Linked DNA regions of Macaca fascicularis. The protein of the gene in region 2 interacts with the protein of the main gene of each other region in a biochemical or structural test. Links are inferred from orthologs where the notes say so. Each region holds a gene or a part of one and is shown on either strand. Other genes may lie near its edges.

Region 1 (4,205 bases), on a different chromosome or scaffold from region 2:
AATCCCAGCACTTTTGGAGGCCGAGGGGGGCAGATCACCTGAGGTCAGGAGCTCAAGACCAGCCTGGCCAACATGGTGAAACCCCCCTCTACTAAAAATACAAAAATTAGCCGGGCATGGTGGCATGCACCTGTAGTCCCAGCTACTCGGGAGGCTGAGGCAGGAGAATAGCTTGAACCAGGGAGGCAGAGGTTGTGGTGAGCTGCGGCAGCACCACTGTACTCCAGCATGTGTGACAGAGTGAGACTCCGTCTCAAAAATAAATAAATAAATAAATAAATAAATAAATAAATAAATAAGTGAAGACTTGTGGCTAGATCATTTATTGGAAGTAGAAACCAGACAGCAAATGAGACATCTGTAGCCATATAAAGAATAGTCAGAACTATTTTGATTTGTAATTTCGACCATTATTATCCAGGATTACGTAAGGAAAACCACATTTATATTAACACTCATTAGTTCACTACTGCCTTTGGAGGCAATTTATATAAAAATTAAATTCTCTTAATCTAAATGTAATCACCAATGGCTTCCTTTCTCTTCCATAACACTATCACTGACCTAAGTTATGCACAAGAAATAACTAGGAAAACTAGAAGCAACAGAGAAAGAACTACGCAGATTTAAAAAAGAAATAGAAGCAAGAAGTCTTCAAAAGACCAAAATGTATATTAAAATATATATGGTCCAAGATAAACCTATATGCCAAACTGATAAACGAAATAGGATCCGAGGAGATTAAGGTAGGACTCAATCTAATCCATGAAGCCTTTCTTCCATTTCAAAAATAATATTCTGAGGATCTTTCCTGGGATTGTTCTCTTAGCAAATAAGTCCTAATGACTATCCACATACAGCAGAAAGTCTTCTTTGGTTCATTTTTCTACACATACCTTTCAGAATAATACTCTAAAAATAACTATGATAAAAAGTAACAAAAACAGAATTAAAGCAGGGTTAAACATTTCTAAATATGCAATTTTCTTTATTCACACACAACACAGTATGCATGTTACTTAACATACACCAAACTCATCTTTCATAAATGAAATTAACATTTCAACAAAATTCTATTACTCTATTTGTCAAGGTTTACAGGTTATGTACCTTAATATTCAAGTGTAAATTTTACTACTAATACATAAACATACTCCTGACGTACTATATCTGAAGCAAGAATTGACGTCTGAATCACCCAAAATTTTAGGAGACAATTGATGCTAACGTGATAAACAGAAAAGTTTGACATCTTAAGAAATTACTGGGTTAGCAAATGAAGAAATGAATTATTTCTGCTAAACAGCTCTTTCAAAAGAATGTCATAATTAATTTAATTTCAATTCACAGTATTTTAAACAATGAGTACAACATAATTAAGATGTATCACAGAACGACCAGACTTGTCCAATTCCACTGTACATTACTACTGAAATTATTCAAATGTTAGGTATAAAATTTAAATGAAGAAAACTTATGTAATAACTCTCTAAAGAAGTAAATTTATTTTTTTAGCCTAAAAGGCCTGGCAGAGCTTAACAGTGCCTTGCAGTTTAATTCATCACAAATTTTAAAAACACAAAAAGCCCGCATTTGAAGCAAAATATTTATCACGTGATATACGTTTACCGTTAATTCAGAACACTAAATCCAACAACGCAATGACCAACTTTTTTTCTGCGTATCGATTTACCCTCAAATTTGCGCATAGTAAAAACAGGCAACAAACTAGTACTTACATTTTTGTTGAATTTGGTGAAAGAATGGTGCATATAAAACCTGTGCATATAAACAATCGCAGTGTTTATTGTAAGCTGAGAGCTGGAACACAGTATTTAGGAAATATCTGACAAAAGCAAGATCTCATTCCCAAAACAATTTTGATGGAAAATTCCCAGGTTCTTTTCCAATACCTCCCATTCAAATCCAAACGCCAAACTAGAAATAAAGAAATAAACGCCCGCGGGGGGTGGGGCGGCAGGAAGAGAATAGACTCTACGCCAAATAAATGGGAGGAAGAACTGCTGATCTTTTCACTCTCACAGCGCTGAGGGCCCTGGAACTATTTATCAATGGCTACGACTGACTAAACTCAAAATGAAACAGTTGAAACGCGCGCGCACACACCCATACAAAACCACGCCAAGAACATAAAAGACCTCCAGTGCGCTCCCAAGGTAGAAGAGAGCCGCCATCAAGCCGGCGAGGAGAGCGGGGAAAGGCTGCGGAAAACACTTAGGCCTTTCAGCATCGCTAACCCTTCTACCTCTCAAACCCTTAGGGGACAGGGACAAGTCCAAGGAGCCGCCCCTTTTCTGCAATAATCCCTAAAATTTCTCTTTCGCCTGAGCCACACTCCCATCCCCCGCCGCCACCACCACGCGCTGCCCGAAACAGATTACACAACGCAGACTCCTGGCCCGCATTCCTGGGGTCCTATCTCCTCCTCCCCTCCTCTGCTAGCCCCTCGCGACTGCCCGAGCTGGAGCCTTACTTCCCTGACCGCGGGGCCGAGGTCCAGCGAAGGCCGAGGCCGGCGGCGCCATGTTCGCGGAGCACCAGGCCCGGCGACCGGGCAAGGGAAACAGGGCGTGAGCGGCGCAGGATAGGAAAGGATACACATTGAGACGCTGTCCCATCTCCTGGATGAGGTTGGCCGCCTGCTGGCGGCACGAGAGCTCTTTATCCGCCTCCACTCCGCAGCGGCGGCTCGGCGTGTTCTCCAGCTGTTCCCGAGTAAAGAACCAGCGAGAAGAAGCTCCACGGCCCGACGCCATGACACTTCCTCCTCCGCCCGCTCCCTCATTCACCCCCCGCCCCTCCCGGCTCGCGGACTCCCAGCCAAGGCGCGCGACCCCGCCCCACTCCGCTCGCCGTAGACCACGCACCGCCCTTTTTCACCACCGCCCCCGCCCGTGCGCATGCGCGGGGTCTGCTCTACCGGCTCGCCCTGGTCTTTTGCTTTCTTTTTCTGTCCTCGGCCTCGCTCTCGCGCGCGGGACCACAATGCTCCGCGCCTCTTGTCATTGGGAGGCGCCGAAGGTGGGGGTCGGCTCGGAAGGAAAAGGTCGGCGCAGCGCATGCCGGGTCTAGGGTTGGCTGGGCGGAGGGGCGGGGCGGGGCGGGGAGAGGAGAGTGGGAGAGGCTGGACCCTGGCCGGTGTGGAGAGAGGCGGTCGGGCGGCTGCGCTGTGGGGTCTGGGCGTGGACTTCGAAGGCCCGTCGGGCGCTTCCTTTGACGGGAGGTCTAGCGGCCCGTTAAAAAGAGAAAAATACCCTTCACTGTCGCAGCCTCACGCCACTACCTCCATTTTCCTTTCGGGTGGGTCCGCGCAGTCTCGTAGGCGTGCGACTCCGGCCTCCGCTACCAACAGCCTCCGCCTAGCGCGCGGCTCTGGCGTGGAGCTGGCCGGGAAAGAGTGCAGAGGAAGTCACGCTCCATGGCTGTCCGCGCCTGAGTGCTTTTTTCACCTTACGTTATGTTGTTTAAATCCCAGACCACTCCGTCCGTGGGTTTATTTTTATTTTTTCAAATTACTTGCCAAACGCTATCCAACTAGCAACGAGAAACTGAATTTCTAAATGAGGTGTTGAATCTAGACGAGGCGTGTTTTCAGACCGTGCTGTGGCTTCTGCGAGACAAGGTTGGGGAGAAGCAGATACGTGCAAGAGGAACTGGGTTAAAATTTTATCTTTAGGATTTGATGCGGGAACATCCCACATACCTGTTGATTAACTCCTGCATTTCTTCCTGTAAGAAAGCTCCACAGAGCTTCACTCGGAGTTTGTGTTGTGAATAGGGTTTCCAAGTTTAAAGTCCTAAGTATTTGGAGGCCGGGCACGGTGGCTCACGCCTGTAACCTCAGCGCTTGGGGAGGTCCAGTGGGTCGATCACTTGAGGTCAGGAGTTCGAGCGCAAGGGCAACATGGTTAGACTCTGTCTCTACCAAAAGTACAAAAATTAGCCGGGCTTGGTGGCGCGCCTGTAGTCCCAGCTACTCCCGAGGCTGAAGTGAGAGGATGGCTTGAGCCCAGGAGGTGGAGGTTGCGGTGAGCTAGATCTCGCTGCTGCACCCTATCCCTCCTGGGCGATAGAGCAAGACCCTGTCTCAAAAATAAAAAAAATAAAATATTTATTTGCCAAAGACCATGAAGGCAAGTGATTTTTTGGGGGCTCCCACGCTCAGTATATGCATTGCACAAGAA
Region 2 (4,027 bases):
ACAGAATGGCTGATGGAACCAAGACTGGCGCATAGCCTGTGTGGCTCTCAAGGGCAGGCCCTGTCACCAAACCAGCCTCCCTTCCAGAGAGGAGCGCTCCCTCCATTCCACTCCCCACTCCTCTGCCGGGGGACCGGGACCCCGTACCTCAGGGGTGATGGAGCCGCAGAGCTGACTGATGAGGGCGAGTTGGTGCTGCTCCGTGTTGCCCTGCATGATGGGGCTGCGGGTCCACATCTCTGCCATGATGCACCCAGCACCCCACAGGTCAATGGGGGGGCCGTAGTCCCGCTCCCCTGGGAAGAAGAGCGCACCAGGAGGGCCCCTTGAGCCCGGAGGCCTCCTGAGACTCAATGCCCCAGGGCCGGCAGCTCAAGAAGCCCTGGCAGTGGGGGGGCGGGGGCCAGGTAGATGCCTGGCCCTCACCCCCCTCGGCCCGCTCGGGAGTCCTCACCGAGCAACAGCTCCGGGGGCCGGTACCAGAGTGTCACCACACGGTTGGTGTAGCGGTTGGGCTGGCTGTTCTTAGCCAGGCTGAAGGCCCGGGCCAGCCCAAAGTCTGCCAGCTTCAGGACCCCGTCACGAGTGATAAGCACGTTAGCAGCCTTCATGTCCCTATGCAGGATCTGCAAGAAGGGCAAGAGTGGCTCCTTCAGTGATATCCACCCGGGAGTGGGAGCCAAGGCCAGCCCAAGCCTGGGTCCTCCTCCCAGCTCTCGCCCCCACCTTGTTCCTGTGGATATAGTAGAGGCCGTTAAGGAGCATCTGCATCACCCTCTTGATCTCAGACAGCGTGAACTTGACCAAAACATTGCTCAACAGCCCAGCAAGGTCATGCTCGCAGAAGTCGAACACCAGGTATATACTGCCCTTGCAGCGGTTATAGGGTGAAGCTGAGGCAGGAATACAAGGAAGAAAAAGTCAAGAAAGCCACACCCAACACACTTTCCCACAACCAGTTTCTTTCTTCCTGCTCCAACCCATGGGCACCCAAGCCCTCCAGAGCATCTGTCTGTTCCTTCCTTCACTGGTCAAATATTTTCTGAGTGCCTCTTCTGGGCCAGGGCAGACCCCGAGGAAGCACCAGCTACGATGAAAGAGGACCAGAGAAAGCAGTCACCATGGGTCCATCTGAGTTAAGAGGAGGCAGTTTAGGTGGGTCTAGTTCCAACTTTACGAACAAAACCTTAGGCTACAAGTGTCATCTCCTCATAAGATCCAAACAACTTACCTTTGGTTCGACAAATCTCAATCAAGTTGACCACATTCTCATGTTTTAGAAGTTGAAGGATCTTGATCTCCCGCAAGGCGGTAATGGGGAACTGGGTGGGAGAGAGGGGAAAGTGGTCAAGAGTGAGCGCAGTACAGAGCCCAGCCCTGGGGTCTATATTGAGAGGCAAGTTGGGAGACAGAGCAAGATCATGGGCTCTGAAACCAGCTGTCTCAGAAGCTCTGCCTGTAAAATGGATATAGTAGGAGCATGCACACTTCAAGGAGATAATTTGAGACAACAAACTGAAACAGCAATACTTTGCTATTAGCCACTAAATGCTCGGCGGTTTCAGCCTTCAAACTTCAGCTCTATGGCTGTTTCGTTGGCAACAAACATGACGATTCAAAAATGTCCTCGCTAAAGCACATCAGGAAAAGGAAGGTTTATGGGACGTTGTACTTGAGCTAAGATGGGGTGGAGGGACCGCTCCTTTTAAACACATTAAATAACTGAGTATTAGTCACTTTTCAAAAATTTGCATGCATATGTATCTTTCTTTAACATTAAGCAAAATTTAACACTAAAAAAAGGTGTTTAAAGGCTTCCTAACTTCGTGAACTAAAGTGCACACGATGCATGCATCAACTCCCCCTCCCGGTCTCACCCATAACTGCCTAAGAATGAAGCATTTAGTTTTAGGGTGGAGGCCAAATTCCCTGGAAATTTCTGAACTACTACGAAAAAAATTAAATCTCAACCTGAGACTCCTAGAAGCAGCAGGGTGGAAAACCGACCCGGGGTCCTGGGCAGTTAGACGGCTGGCCCGCACGCCCGATCCGTACTCACCCCCTCCTTCTCGTTTTCCATCAGCACCTTCTTCAGAGCCACCTTCTGGCCGGTCTTGCGGTGCCTGGCCTTAAACACCTCCCTGCAGGCGGAAAGGGAGACCCGAGAGCTCATCAGGCGATTTCCGCAGGGCCCGCCCCTCCCCCACTACCGGAGGAGGGGCAGCAGCAAAAAGATTCCCGGGCGGGGCTGGGGTAAGTACCCAGGGCACGCGGCTACCCCGCCACCCGGCACCCTGTCTCGTTCGGAGCTTCTGCTTCCTTCTCTCAGTCCCTTCTCCTCACTTGGGCGTCTCTTGGAGAGATCCCGTTCCCCTCACGGGCGCCTCTCTGCAGCCCCTCCCCGCCCCCACCACCGGCCTCAGGCTCCTCCCCACCAGCCGGCTCCTTCAGGCCGGGGCGGGGTGCGGCGCGGCCTAAAGACCAGTGGGCAAGCCCGGGGACAGACGGTTTCTCTACCAACTCGGGCGGGGCCCGGGGCATCCCGACGTCCGCCCTAGGGGTGCAGGCCCACGGCTCCCGGCCCCGAGGGGCCCAGCCTTACCCGAAGGTGCCTTGGCCGATCTTGGCGAGCTTCTCGTATTTGGAAACTTCATCACAAAAGGGGCACTCCACCGAGTCGTACTGCTTTGCCATGGCCGCCTCCAACGCGCCGCCGCCGCCCCCAGCCGCTGCTGCTGCCGCTCCCGCTCCGGGTCCCGCCGCCGCCGCGCTCCAGGCCCCTCCGCGGCCGCGCCACTTCCGCCTCCACGGCCACTTCCGGCCTCGCGGCGCCGACCCCGCCTCTTCCGCCCGCCGCCCGCCGCCAGGCCCCCTGGGACTTGTAGTTCCCGAGAGGCCAGGGGGAGCCGGAGCTGCAGAGGCGCCTCCGCCGCCGCCGCTGCCCCCGCCTCCGCCGCCGCCACTACTGGCGGCGGCCCCGATCGGGGGCGCGGGGAGCCGGGGCGCCGGAGCTGGGGCTCGGGGTGGCGCGTCCCGCTGCATGGGCCCGGGCCGCCGCTGCTGCCGAAGCTGCTGCCGCTCTGGCGCCCGATCCGGGGCCAGCCGCAGTGCCCTGCTCCTCCTCCTCCGACGGCGCCGCCTCCGCCGGGCTGCGCGGGGCGGCGGGCGGGGGGGCAGCCCCCGAGCCGCGGCCTGGGGGCTCCCTGGCCGGGCCCGGGCCCGGGGCGGCCGGGCGAGGGGGCGAGACGGGAAGAGCCGACTAGGAGACGGCCCGAGAGCCCGGGAGGGGGCGCGTTATAAAGGGGGAGGTGCCCGGCCTCGCCTTCCCCTCCTCCTCCGCCCGCCCCCGCCCTCCTCCCTCCCACCCTCCGCGGCCGCACCTGCCGCCGCCGCCACCGCCCGCCCGCCCGCCCGCTCGCTGTCCGCCGGCCGCCCTCGGCGCGTCACCGCCCGCGGCCCCTCCTCCGCCTTCGGAGGTGGGGCCCCGCGCTCGGCACCTGGCTGCGGGCGCCCAGCCGCGTGCCTCAGTTTACCCCCACATGCCGGCTGCCGCGGAGAGCCCCTTCCTCCCCGGCTCGGAGTGCCCCCCCAAGAGGCGAAGGCGGGAGGCGCGGAGGGAGCGTCCTCCGGCCCTGGGAGGAGAAAACGGCCCCCGCCTCCGCCTCCCCCGGTCCCCGCCACCCTCCGTTGACATGGCAACCGACGGCCGCCAGGGGGCGCGGCGGCACTGGAGGCGACGAGCAAGCAACGCCCGGGCCTTCTATCGCTGGAGCCTGGCTCTCCAGGAGGCAGGGATGGGACCCGCAGGACTCGCGCCTTCGCCGAGTCGCGCCAGAGCTGATCAGGCCCCGGGTCAATAATCGCAAAAAACAGCTACCATTTTCTCAGCACTCTTTGTGTGCTCAGGAAGTGCTGGGCGTTCCCGCCGAATCCTGAATCAACAGCCCCATAGTCAGGATCACTAACCCATTTTGCAGAAGAGGACATTGAGGCTCAGAGGTGAGGTCATTTGCCCAAGGTCACACGG

The links. The genes of interacting proteins can lie anywhere in the genome.
Region 1: the proteins of CDK9 (region 2) and CCNT2 form a complex in vitro, tested with the Homo sapiens proteins (4 studies listed by BioGRID, with this or other methods). The link is inferred for Macaca fascicularis from reciprocal best matches to the Homo sapiens genes CDK9 and CCNT2.

Annotation. Positions count from the first base shown.
Region 1 is NC_088386.1:20,742,168-20,746,372, reverse strand, and holds the start of CCNT2 (cyclin-T2), read right to left. Parts: upstream 2,809-4,205; 5' UTR 2,778-2,808; coding exon 2,620-2,777; intron 1,822-2,619; coding exon 1,740-1,821; intron 1-1,739. UniProt on the Homo sapiens protein: Regulatory subunit of the cyclin-dependent kinase pair (CDK9/cyclin T) complex, also called positive transcription elongation factor B (P-TEFB), which is proposed to facilitate the transition from abortive to production elongation by phosphorylating the CTD (carboxy-terminal domain) of the large subunit of RNA polymerase II (RNAP II).
Region 2 is NC_088389.1:16,211,070-16,215,096, forward strand, and holds the start of CDK9 (cyclin-dependent kinase 9), read right to left. Parts: upstream 2,810-4,027; 5' UTR 2,695-2,809; coding exon 2,603-2,694; intron 2,142-2,602; coding exon 2,060-2,141; intron 1,323-2,059; coding exon 1,232-1,322; intron 894-1,231; coding exon 727-893; intron 627-726; coding exon 455-626; intron 297-454; coding exon 148-296; intron 1-147. UniProt on the Homo sapiens protein: Protein kinase involved in the regulation of transcription.